Linked DNA regions of Arabidopsis thaliana. The protein of the gene in region 2 interacts with the protein of the main gene of each other region in a biochemical or structural test. Each region holds a gene or a part of one and is shown on either strand. Other genes may lie near its edges. The genes, in order: HYL1, DRB2 and DCL3.

What was found.
Region 1: the proteins of DRB2 (region 2) and HYL1 interact in far-western blotting, tested with the Arabidopsis thaliana proteins (one study listed by BioGRID).
Region 3: the proteins of DRB2 (region 2) and DCL3 interact in far-western blotting, tested with the Arabidopsis thaliana proteins (one study listed by BioGRID).

Annotation. Positions count from the first base shown.
Region 1 is NC_003070.9:3,137,132-3,142,350, forward strand, and holds HYL1 (dsRNA-binding domain-like superfamily protein), read right to left. Parts: upstream 3,223-5,219; 5' UTR 2,988-3,222; coding exon 2,963-2,987; intron 2,467-2,962; coding exon 2,204-2,466; intron 1,801-2,203; coding exon 829-1,800; 3' UTR 518-828; downstream 1-517. Other genes in the region: AT1G09690 (Translation protein SH3-like family protein), read right to left, coding at 63-299; AT1G09710 (Homeodomain-like superfamily protein), read left to right, coding at 3,988-4,067, 4,163-4,352, 4,614-4,700, 4,899-5,219. UniProt on the Arabidopsis thaliana protein: Double-stranded RNA-binding protein involved in RNA-mediated post-transcriptional gene silencing (PTGS).
Region 2 is NC_003071.7:12,133,196-12,137,988, forward strand, and holds DRB2 (dsRNA-binding protein 2), read right to left. Parts: upstream 3,047-4,793; 5' UTR 2,721-3,046; coding exon 2,475-2,720; intron 2,078-2,474; coding exon 1,858-2,077; intron 1,742-1,857; coding exon 903-1,741; 3' UTR 537-902; downstream 1-536. Other genes in the region: AT2G28370 (Uncharacterized protein family (UPF0497)), read left to right, coding at 61-252. UniProt on the Arabidopsis thaliana protein: Binds double-stranded RNA. May be involved in RNA-mediated silencing.
Region 3 is NC_003074.8:15,751,449-15,759,549, forward strand, and holds the start of DCL3 (dicer-like 3), read left to right. Parts: upstream 1-2,099; coding exon 2,100-2,233; intron 2,234-2,320; coding exon 2,321-2,495; intron 2,496-2,628; coding exon 2,629-2,742; intron 2,743-3,138; coding exon 3,139-3,273; intron 3,274-3,369; coding exon 3,370-3,443; exon of another isoform or gene 3,444-3,554; coding exon 3,555-3,618; intron 3,619-3,693; coding exon 3,694-3,825; intron 3,826-3,921; coding exon 3,922-4,074; intron 4,075-4,204; coding exon 4,205-4,334; intron 4,335-4,419; coding exon 4,420-4,525; intron 4,526-4,604; coding exon 4,605-4,797; intron 4,798-4,885; coding exon 4,886-5,046; intron 5,047-5,128; coding exon 5,129-5,454; intron 5,455-5,653; coding exon 5,654-5,925; intron 5,926-6,010; coding exon 6,011-6,531; intron 6,532-6,611; coding exon 6,612-6,706; intron 6,707-6,813; coding exon 6,814-7,043; intron 7,044-7,131; coding exon 7,132-7,341; intron 7,342-7,423; coding exon 7,424-7,891; intron 7,892-7,981; coding exon 7,982-8,101. Other genes in the region: AT3G43910 (MutS2), read left to right, coding at 1-100, 552-657, 743-789, 882-1,001, 1,089-1,241. UniProt on the Arabidopsis thaliana protein: Ribonuclease (RNase) III involved in RNA-mediated post-transcriptional gene silencing (PTGS).

The DNA.
Region 1 (5,219 bases), on a different chromosome or scaffold from region 2:
TAAGAAGCTCAAATCCTAATTCAATGACACAAAAGCTGAAGAGATAGGAGAGTTCATCAGACCTGTTTGTTGACTTCAACACCGACGGCGCGTTTAGTGACGTTCCAGATACGACCAGTACGACCGTGGTAGAACTTGTGAGGCATACCCTTGTGGATCGCACCATTCACCTTCACATCGACGTAATCGCCGACCTTGAAGGTTCTCAGGTAAGTCGAGAGTGGAATGTAACCCTTCTTCCTGAATGGCCTCGCGAACAGATCCCTCGTTCTCGCCCGAACTCCATGACCCGCTGGCATTTTTCCTCCTCGTGCGACAACTAAAACCCTAGATCGCCGAAGAAATGAAATGAGGAAGGCAGAGTGTATTTATATCTCTGTTTTGAGATTAGGGTTTCGTAAACGGACCTGTTGGGTCAGCAAGTTGGGCTTCTGTTTTTTAGAACCAGCCCACAAATAATCAAGAGTGAGGGTAATGAACCTTCTATTGGACTTTTGTTTTTTAGAACCAGCCCACAAATAATGAAGAGTGAGGGTAATGGACCTTCTGTTGGGTTTGTGTTTTTATAACCGGCCCACAAATAATGAAGTTTGAGAGTAATTTTCATTTATATGTAGATATGAAGCTTCTGTTTTGCAACCCCACATTACTTTATTCGAATGACTCAATCGACCACCAAATTGTACCAATCATATTAGTTTTGATTTTCCGCTCAAATATTACTTCTCTTCAATCTGTGAATTACTACTAGACTAGATAGGAATCACAAAATGGCTACGTAACCATATAGTAACTATGACAAACTCACAAGACTCCATCTTGACACTGTTATGCGTGGCTTGCTTCTGTCTCCACACTCCCAAATGCTGCCTCCTTTAACCCGCTCATGCATGAAGAAGATTCCAGATTTGGCGTTGTCTCAATTTTCTCTGTCTCCACACTCCCAAATGCTGCCTCCTTTAACCCGTTCATGCATGAAGGAGGTTCCAGATTTGGCGTTGTCTCAATTTTCTCTGTCTCCACACTCCCAAATGCTGCCTCCTTTAACCCGTTCATGCATGAAGAAGGTTCCAGATTTGGCGTTGTCTCAATTTTCTCTGTCTCCACACTCCCAAATGCTGCCTCCTTTAACCCGTTCATGCATGAAGGAGGTTCCAGATTTGGCGTTGTCTCAATTTTCTCTGTCTCCACACTCCCAAATGCTGCCTCCTTTAACCCGTTCATGCATGAAGGAGGTTCCAGATTTGGCGTTGTCTCAATTTTCTCTGTCTCCACACTCCCAAATGCTGCCTCCTTTAACCCGTTCATGCATGAAGAAGGTTCCAGATTTGGCGTTGTCTCAATTTTCTCTGACTGATCGTTTTGACAATGATCAGTAGGTTGAGGAGGGATGATAATATCTTCAGGATTTTTAGCTACTGTGCGTTTTCCTTTCTGAGCTTTCTTCTTGAACTGAGCCTTCCTGGCTTTAAGAGTCTTGACGGTTTCTTTAAGCGGGATAGCTGCCTGTATTGTCTTCTTCTCACAAGGAAGTACAGTAAGCTGAGTGTTGTAGTTGGCAAGGTTGTTTTTAGTGTCTGACTGGATCGCTAAAAGAGCAGTTCTCCCAGCGCTAATCTCAGCATCTTTTTTAGTTCTTGTTGCAGCTCCTGTGTACTTTATGCCTCCAATCTCTACAGTACATGTGAATTGTGTAACTCTCCCAAGAGTTTCGACCTTCTGGCACTGATACAATGGAATCGCGTAATTCATCTTTTGAGCGTATTCTTGAAGTAGGTTCTTGCATAATCCCGTTTCGTGCTGCATTAATAAGCCATTCAAAGTTAGACAAGAGCAATAACTTACAGAAACAGCCTAAGAATCTTCCCTCTAGAAGTTGGCAATACACATAAATCCGATAAGACAGAAGACACTTTATTAATGAGTGGATTCTTTAAACTCTTGAATCTCGATCATTGTCCAACCAAGAGCCTAGACAAATACAGAATGCCCCCTAACGTATTCTCACAGCTCCCCTTTAAACCTTCAACTCTGAAACTAACCATGAGCTTCCCTTTAAACCTTCAACGCTCAAACTAAGCATAAGGACTACTGCTGAGATGGCAAAGCTACAATTCGCTGCTAAACCCCTAGGCTAGGTTCAATAGTTTTGCAGTGAACTTAACAATAATCACGAGCGAAATAAGAAAGATGAGGTGCTTACAACAGGTTGTGAAACACATTGGCTTAGCTCACTGGATTTTGCTAATTCCCGGAGAGCAACCTCGGCAGCTGATTGCTCTGCAGCCTTACGATTGAAGAATCCAGGCAAAGAATTATATCTGACACCATCCAGTATCACAGTCGATTGAAATAAAGATTTGTGTGAAGGGCCTTCTTTAACGATCTCATAAACAGGCGTTGGGAGCTTGTACTTCTGAGCATACTCCTGCAACCGACTTTTGAAAACATAGCAATTGGAAACACCTGAGCAGGAAAAAAACTTCAAAATGAGGCAAAAGATAAAACAGAAACAGTGATGATGCTATCCACTACAGCATAAATTGCAAATAAACTCAAAACGACAACAGGGAACAGCAGTGAACGAGTTCTGAATAAAGCTGACGACTTTCACAAAGAAACTATACTTATCCAAAAGGGGAGAGACAGTTTTAAACCAAGCTTCTATGTTCCCTAACAAATTGAGTCAATAAATCATCATCTCAAAAGAGTAAACTTGCCAATTGCCAGAGAGATCTACGCTTAAACCCACAAGGGACAGATACACTTGTAAATTCTAACTAATCAAAACACTGCAATCCAATTTCCAAGAAGAAAGAAGTGAGTAAAGAACAGAAGAAAGGGGAAAAAGCATGATCTGGTTTCAAAATTAAAACCCGGAAAAAACAACCCATGAATGTTGAATTAGAGATAATGCAGACATGATGGTGAAGAAGAAGAAGAAGAAGAAGAAGTAATTCACCAGAGGAAACATCAGTGGAGGTCATTTTCACGAGCAGAATGTAGCTGAAGAGACGAATAATAGGTTAGTAGGGCACGGCGAAGAGCAAGAAAGAAACGTGCTGCTGCTGCGAAGAAGCAGAGAGAGAGAGATGATTCTTCTTCACCAAAAACCCTCTCCCCTCGACTTCCTCCTCTTTACTGATTTTTATTTTTGTTTTTTTTTCACAAGGGCAAACGAAAGAAGGTGGTTCTTAATTGTTATGTTACAAATGTTAATATTGAATTTAATTTCAAACCTTTATAAATTATATTATATTCCATAAATTTACCTTTTTGGTCAAATTTTCCATAAATATAATTTACTTGTGAATATTATATGAAAGCAAAATGTTTTTATCTTTGAAATATTTAATTTAATTAAAAAACTAATTACATATAGCCTAATTTCGTATTTCATATGTAGTTAACTAATGTATATATCCACAATTGATTAACCTTTTTATGGCTAACTTTATTCACTAGTAATCCCTTTGTTATATTCACACAGTTTTTGTATTCACAAATAATTAATTTGTTCTCCAAGTAAACATCAATAATGATAATAACCGTTTAATAAAAAATAAAAACAATTTGAGCCCATATTTGAGCCCACTTGAGCCTATGTCCCTTAACAGAAAAGAAAAATATTTGAGCCCATATTTGAGCCCACTTGATCCTATATCCCTTTACCAGAAAAGAAAAATATTTGAGCCCATACTTTTCGCTTCTGATAAGCGTAGAATAATAATAGTCGAATTTACCACCTTCCTTTTCGTTCCTTTTTTTTCTTCTCTCTTCCGAAACACCTCTGCCACGCGAGTACTCTCCACGCTCTTCGACAGTCGTGACCATCTTCTTCTCCGATCGTCTTCACCGGTTTTCTTGGGCATTCCCTCGTGCGTAAGTCTCTGTCGTTTCGTTTCGTCTATAACTCCCTCGGGTTTTGGTGAAATTTGATTCCTTTGTCCTGTTCTCTGCAGAATTGTTGCAATAAATACGACGAAGATGGTTGCTAATAATAATACTAGTAGCAATCGCAGGAAGAGAATCATTACTGAAGGCGACATCGCCACTCTTTTGCTGAGGTAAAAATATCTCCTTTTTTTGTTTTCTCTTTCCGAAAACGTTAGTGGATTTGGGTTTAGTCAGTGTGGCCGGGGTTTTTGATTTATTGACGCAGATATGATATGGAGACGATACTGAGAATGCTACAGGAGATATCTTATTGTTCCGAAACCAAGATGGACTGGAATGCGTTGGTGAAGAAGACCACTACCGGAATTACTAATGCTAGAGAGTACCAGTTGCTATGGCGTCATCTTTCTTATCGGCATCCTCTCCTCCCTGTGGAAGATGATGCTCTACCTCTGGTACTTATTCTGTCTCTCCTCTTTCCACTTTTGATGAATTGTAAAAGACTCAAGTTTATGTTGTAGAGTTAGTTAGTTTTCTTCAATAAAAACTCACTACTACTTTGTGTTATCAGTATCATCTAGAAGTGAGTGTGATGAAATACTAGTTTATGTTCTATGTGGCAGTGGATACTAAAACTTCTTGGTAGCATTAGGGATCGATGAGTGTCTCTCGCTGGTGTAGTTTACAGATTTTTTAAACGAAAGTTGCCTGTGCAGGACGACGATAGTGACATGGAGTGCGAATTGGAAGCTTCTCCTGCAGTCAGCCATGAAGCATCAGTGGAGGCTATTGCACATGTCAAAGTAAGAACGGAATCATAGATTTCATTCCCTTGACAGAATTTCAGAATCTGAAGTCCCTAGGCTCTATTCAGGATAACACCTTGCTGTTTTCTTAATGATTAGTGTGTTGGTTACTTGTTCTGCATATCAATCTGTGCTTATCCAGAGTTCCCATTTTATCCAAATATCATTAAGTTTTCGTTTCTCTTGTATTCCCAGGTGATGGCTGCTTCATATGTTCTAAGTGAGTCTGATATACTCGACGATTCAACAGTTGAGGCTCCCTTGACTATAAACATACCTTATGCTTTGCCTGAGGGTTCTCAGGAACCATCAGAGTCTCCTTGGTCGTCAAGAGGGATGAATATCAACTTTCCGGTCTGTCTTCAGAAAGTTACATCTACCGAGGGGATGAATGGAAATGGTTCAGCTGGTATTAGCATGGCTTTTCGGAGGAAAAGGAAAAGATGGTCTGCTGAGGAGGATGAGGAGCTGTTCGCCGCTGTAAAGCGATGTGGTGAAGGGAACTGGGCTCATATT
Region 2 (4,793 bases):
TAATAAAATCGTATGAGAAAAGAGATGTGTACAAATAAGCATTTTTCAACATTATTTCAGGTGACATCGACGCTGACTTTTGCAGCAGCTTGTGCATCGGCAGGCATAACGGTTCTAATAGACAACGATCTGAATAGCTGCGCACAAAACCACTGTGTTCAGTTTGAAACATCAACGGCATTAGCTTTCATAAGCTGGTTCGCTGCTTTGCCTTCGTTTCTCTTCAATTTCTGGTCTCTTGCATCCCGTTGACACGATACTGCTCAGCAAGATGTGTTTTCATGGTGTGTTTTTCGGTGTATAGTGACTGATTTTTCTTCTTCTTTCTTGTTTTGGGTTTGGAACCAACTTTCTTCAAACCCAATACTTGGAAACTGGGAATTGTTTTGTAGACGACGACCTTATTCATTTTGTTGTACAATGAAACTATCTGGTCGGCTTTGTTGTATGATTGAAGAAATTTCAGATGTTGAATGCATTATTATGATATGTTGACTGAATTGCAAAAACTATATTGTATAAAACATATGGCTCGTGTGCTGAAATATTTTGACTGAATTTGTTAGCTAAAGGAGAAATTCGAAGTTCCAAAGACTCATTGAGATATGTGTCATAGCTGTCGTGTAAGACAAAGAGCTTGATTCTGCTGGAACAACGATAGGTAACAGATTTATAAAAGATGAGAAAAAGGACACAAACAAACTGAATAGGAAGCGAAACTGATACAATTCTACAATCCAGAGATGGCCAGGTTCTTCCCAAAACTCCCCAATATAATACAAATCTTTCGGATTATCAAACTACTCGATCCACCGAGTATAATAACGAACGAGATTACTAATGTAACAATTTTCAGAAACCAACCTCAAAAAAAACTAAACCCAGAGACAGTCTTCAAGGCATCAGATCTTTAGGTTCTCCAGTCGCTCTCTTGCTGTCTCCGGTTCTCCTTTCGATGAATCCTTAAACTCTGCTCTCTCGGTTTCCTTTGACGCTGTTTTCTCACAATCTGTAATTGTTATAGTACTTCCTTCTACTCCAATTTCAAGACTATCAGGCAAGACTGGTATACTCTCCTTTTCTTGGACTGATGATATGCGGGTTTCTCCTGCCTCAACTGTGGGCTTCACAGCGGTTCTAATTCTAACCGGTGGCGCAGAAGCAAATACGGGCACCGCGGTTCTGATTGTGACAGGCGGCGCGATCCTCACAGGTGGTGCAGTTCGCATCAGCGATGGGACATACACAGAAGAAGGTAGCTGAGTGTTGTTTGTACATGGTGGAGGAGGCATTGGAGGTGCAGAGAAGACCGGTACAGCGGTTCTGATTGTGACAGGTGGAGCCATCCCATGGCATTGCGATCTAAATTGCCTCATAGGAACATAAGGCGGATTTGCAAATCTCTGCTGAGGCCGCTGGTAGCTGCGGCTTTCCAAGGCTGCTGCCATAATTCTGTCAATACCGGAAGTTGCTGCTAAGGATGATCTGCTGCTTCTGGAAGGTTGTTTTGGGCAAATAAAGGGTAAGATTCTCGATGTGGTTGCAGGAGAAGGCTGTGGACTTGTTGGTCTAAGGTTCTGCATAAAGAACTTCTTTGCAAATGGAACTGGGGCACTCGAGGAGCTTCCTGTGCCAATGTTTTCCTTGATACGATAGTTTATCAAAGCTCTTGCTATAATCACCTGTTCTAGTTCGTCAATGTTCTCAGGCTCAGGCATTGAACTTGATGTTTCTTTTGCCACTGTTACCAAGAAGAACATAAAAAACATCAAACCATGTAAGCAGAGTTACATTTGATCAACGCCTGCGTTAAACTAAAACCATATCAAAACTGACAAAATCAGAATTAGGACTCACATTGTTTTAGGGAAGACCAAGCAGCCATTGCAGCATTCTTCTCTGCTTGCTTCTTGTTCTTAGCTGGATCTCCAGTGAACGTAATTCCAGCCAATTCTACAGTACCAGTAAACACAGGTTGGTGACCAAGACCTGACCTGAAAGTAGTATATCGCGGTAAAGGAGCTCCCACTCTTTGAGCTATCTCTTGCAAAAGATTCTTATACACACCCGTCTCATCCTACACAAACCATAATCCAAAAGAACAGAGCCAAGAAAAGTATCATCAGTCATGCAACAAGCAAAACATCAGAAGTAAACATGCATCCAAAATCACAAAAGTTATTTGTTCTACTCATTTAAGTCCCAAACCAATCAATGGGTAAGAACAAGATTCAAACTTTGGATCCATAGATCAGTGAATGTGAAGATCACTCTCTCTAATCAGACAACCCAGAAACCCAAATCCCTAAAAAGCAAGTCAGAGATCTCAGCACCGACCCTAATAAGTAAAAACCTAACCACAAACTAAACCCATCAGTGACCTAAAGCACCTAAAACAACATGCAAATTCAGCATTCAAAGCTCACAATTTTCCAAGTAAAATGCCAAAGAGAGTAAGAGGAAGCGAAACAAACCAAGATCCTGGCGGCAAGAGAGTGAGAAGGACCACGATTAGAGAGAGCATTGAGAGCAACTTCAGCAGCAGAGTGTTCAGCTTGACGAAGAGTAGAACAATACTGAGGACTCTCAAAGATCTCGCCGTTAAAGTTAACAGTAGCCTTGAATCGCGGCGCGTGGTCAGGACCTTCCCTAATACAAGTATACGAAGGAAGATTAAAGCAGCTCCTCTGAGCCAACTCTTGTAGCTGGTTCTTATACATTTCGAAAACCAAATTTACCAAACAAAGAAAGAAACTCCGATTTCGGAGAGATCAAAGCTTTGGTTTTTAGGGCTTTTTCTTCATCGCTAAGGCTCTGTATCTTCGAATCATGGAAAATCGTTGGAGGGTTTAGCTTGGGGAGTGATTAAGAGGCTAAGTTGGGGTGTGAAGGAGATTGAAGATGGTGAAATCGGAGGAAATTTAGGGTTTTTGCAGAGAGAGATAGAGAGAGGAAGAGAGGGAGGAGCAAGAGAGAGAGAGAGTGTGGGGTTTTTGCTTTAATGGAAAAAATAAAATAAAATTAAATGTGAGAATTAATTATCTGCTTTTATCGCTGCTAGTCAACTGAACGTTAGCCTGCATGGATGTGATATTTTTATATTTCCTTTTTATACTATACTAATTTTGTATGTATCTTAATTTATGGATTTAAAAAACAAAAAAAAACATTTAACTATAATCCACCACTATTGTAAGCTTTATAATTTGAATTTTCATAAAACATAAGATTAAATATATATTGAACAATTTGTATAATTGTAAGGTATGAAAAAAATAAGTCTATTTGAATAAACAGGTTAATTCTAGTTTATTAAGTTTTGTTAACGTTTGTAATAACAGAGAAGAAGTTAAAAGAGAATTATGGAAAGAACGAAACGGCAGAATCTATAACAACACTCATCGAAACGGTCGAAGTTATAACAACACTCGTCAAAACGGTTTAACTTTCTTGTTTTTGGCGAAAAAAACAATATGTTTAGTATTTTTAACTTGTTCTAATCATGTGTAGCTAGTTAAACAATGTGTAATCCATGCGACTTCTCAGTTTAACGTTAACTCGTAATTTGAAATCTCGGTCAAAAGAAACAAAAAATTGAAAAATCCGCACAAGTTCCATCATCAACTATGTATAATAGATACATTTTGAATTTGTGAAAAAAAATCATAAACTTTTTTTGGAGAAAACGAAACCGTAAAGTCTATAATAACACTTAGGAAACGGCTGAATACATAAAACACCAAAAAAAAAGACAATTTTGGTTGTCAAATCTTTTTTGGTCATCACATGATTCACATCTACTCCGATCAATTTTTATATTTTTAATACTTACCAAATCTTCTCTATTTTTTTTTTAGCATTCAACTATCTATGAATTGTGAAATAACTGCTTTTACCATTTGAAACAAAAGTTTCTAATTTTGATCTATCCAACCCACATACGTTTTTGATAGGCTACAACCTTGGTTCCATGAAACTTCAATCTCATGGCTGTTCCTCCTTTTTTCACTATAAAGTTGGGTTTAACTTGTTTCTATGTTGAATCTTTTGTTTATTTGTGCGGTCTCCAATTTTGATCTACCACATTGATTCATTTTAGTTTTATAAAAAATAATTGGTTAAAGAAAATAATAGTAAGTTTCTCTAAAAAAAATTAACAAAATTTCATAGATGTGTTTCTAGTATAATTTTTCTTATATATCAATAGTGTGATCTATATGCTTTTCTTCAATAGTAGAAGTTAAATAAAATATTTCATCAAAACAAATAAAAATATGTTCGACTGATGTATAATTTTAACTTAATCATAGAATTAGTGGGAAGTCTGAAGTCGTATTCTAATAAAAAGGAATATGAAAATGGAAAGAAAAGAAAAAACAAAATACTAGAAAACAGCTTGAAACCTAAGAAGTTAGTGCGTACTTTATTTTCATATATTAAAACTTAATGTTCACACATCTCTAAAGAATAATTTAGCTTTTGATGAATTTTGAAACCATGTCCACACAAGTCAATGGGTAGAGAGAGAGAGGAGGAACAAATGTGAAATCATGAAATTACCAAAATGCTTATTACGTTTAGAGAGAGATAAGGGGCATTATCGTAATAAACGCTGTGAGTGATTTGCAGTAGTAAAAGGTGGAATTCATAATCATAGTTAAGCTTAGTGGCCAACATTTACTTTTATATTTGTTTTCGTTTTTCTATTTCAATCTCCCGAAGTTGATGAAGTTTGACTGATCCATCACATAACCACATAAATTTGTACTAACTAGTTTTCTTTTTTCTTGCGA
Region 3 (8,101 bases), on a different chromosome or scaffold from region 2:
AGAGAATTTTAAGCCACATTGGATCATTGGGATTGACCCTAACTTATCCGGAGCTTTGGCTGTGCTGAAATTCGACGACAAGGGATCTTGTTTTGCTCAGGTGAATCGCTACTAATTAATTTTCGAAAAGAATATTGTTTTTCTTCTGAAACCCTAGAACTGTGAAACTACAAGATTCTAGGGTTTGTGAAGTAAATTAAGATATTCCATTGGGTAATCTCAGGACATGCACTTGGTTAGTCATAAATTATATATACAAGGTTCGATATTTCATTGGGTAATCTCAGGCAGATGGACTTGGTTTATCATAATTTATATATACAAGGTTCGATTGTTATCTATAGGAATTATATGAATGAAATTAATATTGGATGATAGAAGATTTACAACTAATTAACCTGTTTGTAACTATTGAGTTAGTGAGTTTTGTTATCTATCCCTTAAGTTAAATAAGACATGCTTTGTAAACTGTTCTCTTGGTGAATACAGTGGAAAATTCACTTTAGTCATTTTGATATGGATTAAGTTTTGTGTGTTAAATCTGTGTGAAGGTATATGATACTCCTCAGTTGGAAGTTGTAGTTCAAAACATCCGAACACGTAGTTTCAACGAAAAATCAATGCTAGAACTGATTCGTAGTCTAGATGTTCCATCCGGTAAGAACGATATTTCACTGTGTTTTTGTTGTGGCGTGTTCTTTGCGTTATGTTTAAAATCAATTTGGTCTCTTCACTGTTGTAGGAACCAAGGCATTTGTAGCGAAATATATTCATCCTGAAAACGCTATTGTAAAAATTACTCATCTCTTTTTTTTTTTACTTCAGTACGTTTATGATATGGATTCGATACACTGAAACATGATTGTGTCTTTATATCTTAGACTGCCTACAATGATGGACTTGGATGTGGATTATGGACACTTCTCACATCTAGCATTTCTGTTATTTACGTTACTCCTTCTACATGGGACAAACATTTTAATCTTAGTATTTGGAGTTTGGTGATGAATCTTAACTCTCAAACTTTTATGATTTCATGTCTATCCTCACATCAATTGCAATAAAAATATTTGCTTTTCTCTTCGTAGGATGGTGGCAGGAAACTCGCACTGGAAATGTTTCCATCACTTAAATTGACAACGAAAATTGACGACAATGCTCGAGCTAATGCACTACTCATTGCTGCATATGGTCATGCTACAAGTGATACAAGATATTACTCATTTTCTCAAATTAAGTGACATATCTAACATGTAAAAATGAGTAATGTTTTGGTGATTTCACTTATATATTGCATCTCTTTCTCTGCTCCTTTGGCTTTCAGAAAATTCTTCACTAATTAGAAAAAAATATTTTGTTTATTCTTTTTCCGTATTCAAAATCTCTCAAAATTTGGTCATTTTTCGATTTCTATATTTATCTAATTTTCAAGGTGAGAGTTGTTAATGTAGTTTGGTTATGATTTAACCCGACCGAAATCCTCATGACCTAACAAATTATAAATAATCTCTGACAAAACAAGGTAAATTGTCTCGGGTTGAAAGAGACATTAGAATTAGATGATATTAACATAAGTCAGCCCCTCTTCTACATTTTTAGCTTTCTTTTAGTCGAAAATCATTCCAAACTCGGAACATACATTGTGGTGTTTATTTGGGAAGAAGTCCACGCTAAAGTATTTTAGTACATTTCTACCAGATTACCCGGATAAATAAAAAAAGCGAAGTTACTTACAACATGAAACAGCTTGCACATTGAAGAAAAGTAATCAATCAGCAGTATATCCAATGAATCTATGCATCTTGTCAGGTCCATTGGGCCTTAGAGGCCTAAATATTTGAAGAAAGAGTAAAATCAAAAATAAAGTATCGAAAAAAGGTAACCCAAAAATTAATATAGTTTGACTAATTTTGTTGCAGTTTTTTTTTCTAGTTAAAAATTCAACATTCGAAACTCATGTTCTGACCTCATTTATACACTTGCCCAGTGGTCAGTGCAGAAAAAGAGAAAAAGAATCACCTTTTTGTTTTAATCTCAAAGTCGAAATTCGAAATTCCTCTACTCTTCCCGTTAAGTGTGTTCCTTTTTATCCGTTCGTCATGCATTCGTCGTTGGAGCCGGAGAAAATGGAGGAAGGTGGGGGAAGCAATTCGCTTAAGAGAAAATTCTCTGAAATCGATGGAGATCAAAATCTTGATTCTGTCTCTTCTCCTATGATGACTGACTCTAATGGGTATCATCATCTTCCTCTCTTTGTACTTGATTTTGGGTCTTATGGGTTTTTAGTCTTTTTCACTAAAGTTTACTTTTTTTTTGGCAGTAGTTATGAATTGAAAGTGTACGAGGTTGCTAAGAACAGGAACATAATTGCTGTTTTGGGGACAGGGATTGATAAGTCAGAGATCACTAAGAGGCTTATCAAAGCTATGGGTTCTTCTGATACAGACAAAAGATTGATAATTTTCTTGGCCCCAACTGTGAATCTTGTTAAACAGGCAAGTCTCTTGTTTGATTGTAAAAAGAAAAACTGTTTCATTTGGATTTTAATCATTTTGAGTTGATGATGTTGGCTAATGAGTCGCCTTGGGAGCTTATTTTTGAATGTTTTATTGGTGTGTGTGGTTTTAGCAATGCTGTGAGATCAGAGCACTTGTGAATTTGAAAGTTGAAGAGTACTTTGGAGCTAAAGGAGTTGATAAATGGACATCTCAGCGCTGGGATGAGGAATTTAGCAAGCACGATGTAAGTTTCTGTTTCTTTTTGTGTATATTTGGCTAGTTATACGCCAACAAAGTGACTTGCTTGTAGTTTTGGTGATTTTATATCAAAATTTCTTTGTGTGGTTAGTGAAACTTTGGCAGAATGTTGTAATCCACTTTGACCAGCTCATTGTTGTATTTTGAGTCATGAATGTTCTCTGAGTTAGTTAAAAGCCCATTCCAATTTGTTACTTTTGGGGTTGGTTCTTCTTCCAATGCTGATTATTTCTTAATTATTTTGTTTGAACTTGTTTGCTTGAGCCCTTGACGTAGATTTGTGACTGCATTGATCTCACTAACAGAATCACATACTTCTCTTTTGTTGCCGAATCCACGTGAGTCTATTATCTGCAATGAAATTATGTTTTGTATGGTTCAGGTTTTAGTTATGACTCCTCAAATATTATTGGATGTCCTTAGAAGTGCATTCCTGAAACTAGAGATGGTATGTCTTCTAATAATAGATGAATGCCACCATACCACTGGCAATCATCCCTATGCGAAGTTAATGAAGGTGTGTTTTCTCAGTAATGATAAGCTCTATTAGTTTTTTCATAATAGAGTTTCCATAACTTGTCAACGAACTAGATTCTTTCTTGTTTTCATGAAGGAATTCTATCACGAATCCACTAGCAAACCGAAGATATTTGGATTGACTGCGTCAGCCGTCATTAGAAAAGGCATGCTATTTAAAAGTTTCTTATTTCCTCTGTATGCCAAACCAAAGATCCTGCTTCCTGTAACTACTTTTTAATGTTTGAACTTCATGTAAGGAACATAAACTCATACTACAAGTGTTTCCTCTCCCTCTAACTATGCAGCTCAAGTATCAGAACTTGAGAGACTCATGGACTCAAAGGTACTTTGTTTTTGTGTAACAAGGAAACAGATATAGTTTACAAATTAATGCTATGCAATCTTACTTTGAATTCAGATTTTTAATCCTGAAGAGCGTGAAGGAGTGGAAAAGTTTGCTACAACGGTTAAAGAAGGTCCAATATTGTATAACCCATCACCATCCTGTAGTTTGGAATTGAAAGAAAAGTTAGAAACTTCACACCTCAAGGTATATAATATATGCTCACTGAATATGATCCAGAACATGACTCTTTCCTATTATGTTTCAGAGTGCTTGAAAAATATTCTGTTTTTTTTCGTACAGTTTGATGCTTCTCTTAGAAGGCTTCAAGAGTTGGGAAAAGACAGTTTTCTGAATATGGATAATAAGTTTGAGACATATCAAAAGAGATTGTCTATCGACTACAGAGAGATTTTGCATTGCCTTGATAATCTTGGCCTGATTTGCGCACACTTGGTATTTTTCTACCAGTTTAGTTTTTATTACCAGTTCTTCATTTGCTTACTCATTGTTACTTTTTTCTCCCGCTAGCATACCTGTTGTGCTGATTATTTTTCTTTTTTTTTTCATCTTGCTTTCGCGATAGGCGGCTGAAGTCTGCTTGGAGAAAATCTCAGATACGAAAGAGGAAAGTGAAACTTATAAAGAATGCTCAATGGTGTGCAAGGAATTTCTTGAGGATATTTTATCCACCATTGGGGTGTATTTGCCGCAAGGTAATGTATTCAAAGCTCTATATTGCATTGAGTCCTCTTCTAGTCACTAATTTTTACACTGTTTATCATTTGTGTTATTTAACAGATGATAAGAGTCTGGTAGATTTGCAGCAAAACCATCTGTCAGCAGTAATTTCTGGGCATGTATCTCCAAAGCTAAAAGAACTCTTCCATCTATTGGATTCCTTTAGGTAAATTTAAATTGTTTATCCAACTCCCAAAATTGCACCAAGATCTCCATCTGTTCTGACAATTTCAATTTGCTTGCAGAGGTGACAAGCAAAAGCAGTGCCTTATTTTAGTTGAGAGAATTATAACTGCGAAAGTGATCGAAAGATTCGTTAAGAAAGAAGCCTCTTTGGCTTACCTTAATGTCTTGTATTTAACCGAAAACAACCCCTCCACCAATGTATCGGCACAGAAAATGCAAATTGAAATCCCTGATTTATTTCAACATGGCAAGGTTACCTGTTCTTCATCACAGTCAGATGTTTTATAGATTGAGAAATGTTTTTATTTTGTCTTCTCTGAAAGCTTTTTAATGCATGTAGGTGAATCTTTTATTCATCACAGATGTGGTTGAAGAGGGATTTCAGGTTCCAGATTGCTCATGCATGGTTTGTTTTGACCTGCCCAAAACAATGTGTAGTTACTCGCAGTCTCAAAAACATGCCAAACAGAGTAATTCTAAGTCTATCATGTTTCTTGAAAGGTAGGAAGCAATATTTATTTAACACAAAATGTTTACCAAATTCCAGTTTTTGTAGCTTATTTCTGAATACTAATTATTGTAGAGGGAACCCGAAGCAAAGAGACCATCTGCATGACCTTATGCGAAGAGAAGTCCTAATTCAAGATCCAGAAGCTCCAAACTTGAAATCGTGTCCACCTCCAGTGAAAAATGGACACGGTGTGAAGGAGATTGGATCCATGGTTATCCCAGATTCTAACATAACTGTATCTGAGGAAGCAGCTTCCACACAAACTATGAGTGATCCTCCTAGCAGAAATGAGCAGTTACCACCGTGTAAAAAGTTACGCTTGGATAACAATCTCTTACAATCCAACGGCAAAGAGAAGGTTGCCTCTTCTAAAAGTAAATCATCTTCATCGGCTGCAGGTATGTTTTCTAATTTATTAATTCGTCAATTAGCTGGTGTCGCTGATTTTAGTCTTTAGTTCCTCTATCAGCCGCTGTTGTATCACACACATACACGCACACATCAGCAGTTGCATATCATATGTCTATGTCTAAGGTCATGGAGCTTGTCTTAATTTGTTTATTTATGTATACATTTCTTTTTCTTTTCGCTGAACAGGTTCAAAAAAACGTAAGGAGTTGCACGGAACAACCTGTGCAAACGCATTGTCAGGAACCTGGGGAGAAAATATTGATGGCGCCACCTTTCAGGCTTATAAGTTTGACTTCTGTTGTAATATTTCTGGCGAAGTATACTCGAGTTTCTCTCTTTTGCTTGAGTCAACTCTCGCCGAGGATGTTGGTAAAGTTGAGATGGACCTTTACTTGGTCAGGAAGCTTGTCAAGGCTTCTGTCTCACCTTGTGGCCAGATACGTTTGAGTCAAGAGGAGGTACATAACTCTGATCCCTAGTTATAAACAGTTTCTTGTTTCATGGTTTGAACTTGATGTCTTCTTCTTTGTGTTTTGGATGCAGCTGGTCAAAGCAAAATATTTTCAGCAGTTTTTCTTTAATGGCATGTTTGGAAAGTTGTTTGTTGGATCTAAGTCACAGGGAACAAAGAGAGAATTTTTGCTTCAAACTGACACTAGTTCTCTTTGGCACCCTGCCTTTATGTTTCTACTGCTACCAGTTGAAACAAATGATCTAGCTTCGAGTGCGACAATTGATTGGTCAGCTATCAACTCCTGTGCCTCAATAGTTGAGTTCTTGAAGAAAAATTCTCTTCTTGATCTTCGGGATAGTGATGGGAATCAGTGCAATACCTCATCCGGTCAGGAAGTCTTACTAGACGATAAAATGGAAGAAACGAATCTGATTCATTTTGCCAATGCTTCGTCTGATAAAAATAGTCTCGAAGAACTTGTGGTCATTGCAATTCATACTGGACGGATATACTCTATAGTTGAAGCCGTAAGCGATTCTTCTGCTATGAGCCCCTTTGAGGTGGATGCCTCATCAGGCTATGCTACTTATGCAGAATATTTTAACAAAAAGTAAGTGATATTCTAGCTTTGGCTGTTCTTTCAATCTACTTATCATAACTCTCTAGTTAATGTTATTCCCTTTTAATCAGGTATGGGATTGTTTTAGCGCACCCGAACCAGCCGTTGATGAAGTTGAAGCAGAGTCACCATGCGCACAACCTTTTAGTCGACTTCAATGAAGAGAGTAAGTTGATTCTTGAGAATTTCTCCAACATATGGAATCATTGTGTATGTTCTCATGATATTGTAGTGTGTGAGCTCTAAGATGTTGTTTCCAATGTAAATGGACAGTGGTTGTGAAGACAGAACCAAAAGCTGGCAATGTTAGGAAAAGAAAACCGAATATCCATGCGCATTTGCCTCCAGAGCTTTTGGCTAGAATTGATGTACCGCGTGCTGTGCTAAAATCAATCTACTTGCTGCCTTCAGTGATGCACCGCCTAGAGTCTCTAATGTTGGCCAGCCAGCTTAGGGAAGAGATTGATTGTAGCATAGATAACTTCAGTATATCAAGTACATCGGTATGGTTTTTGAAAACTATCTGTCATTTAGAGATGAAACTAGATATCTTGATTGTCATTAAACTCTTGTCTTGGTTCAATAAATCAGATTCTTGAAGCAGTTACAACACTTACATGCCCCGAATCATTTTCAATGGAGCGGTTGGAACTGCTCGGGGATTCAGTCTTGAAGTATGTTGCGAGCTGTCATCTATTCCTTAAGTATCCTGACAAAGATGAGGGGCAACTATCACGGCAGAGACAATCGATTATATCTAACTCAAATCTTCACCGCTTGACAACCAGTCGCAAACTACAGGTATCTTCTAACATTTGCAAGTAATGTCTTACATCAGTCAGAACACCAAAGAAATATCTTTCCATGGGGATTGGTTTGATAGGGATACATAAGAAATGGCGCTTTTGAACCGCGTCGCTGGACTGCACCTGGTCAATTTTCTCTTTTTCCTGTTCCTTGCAAGTGTGGGATTGATACTAGAGAAGTACCATTGGACCCAAAATTCTTCACAGAAAACATGACTATCAAAATAGGCAAGTCTTGCGACATGGGTCATAGATGGGTAGTTTCAAAATCTGTATCAGATTGCGCTGAGGCCCTGATTGGTGCCTATTATGTAAGCGGTGGATTGTCTGCTTCTCTCCATATGATGAAATGGCTCGGTATTGACGTCGATTTTGACCCAAACCTAGTCGTTGAAGCCATCAATAGAGTTTCTCTACGGTGTTACATTCCTAAAGAAGATGAGCTCATAGAGTTGGAGAGAAAGATCCAACATGAATTCTCTGCAAAGTTTCTTTTAAAAGAGGCTATCACACACTCCTCTCTTCGTGAATCCTATTCATACGAGGTATGACTTCATCATTTTCAACCCCTGCATTATTTGGCTGACTTATTCCCAGGTTTCCAACCTCATGCTATCATTTTTTTCCTCAAACAGAGATTAGAGTTTCTTGGCGATTCTGTACTGGATTTTCTAATAACCCGTCATCTTTTTAACACCTACGAACAAACTGGGCCTGGAGAGATGACCGATCTTCGTTCTGCATGTGTAAACAAT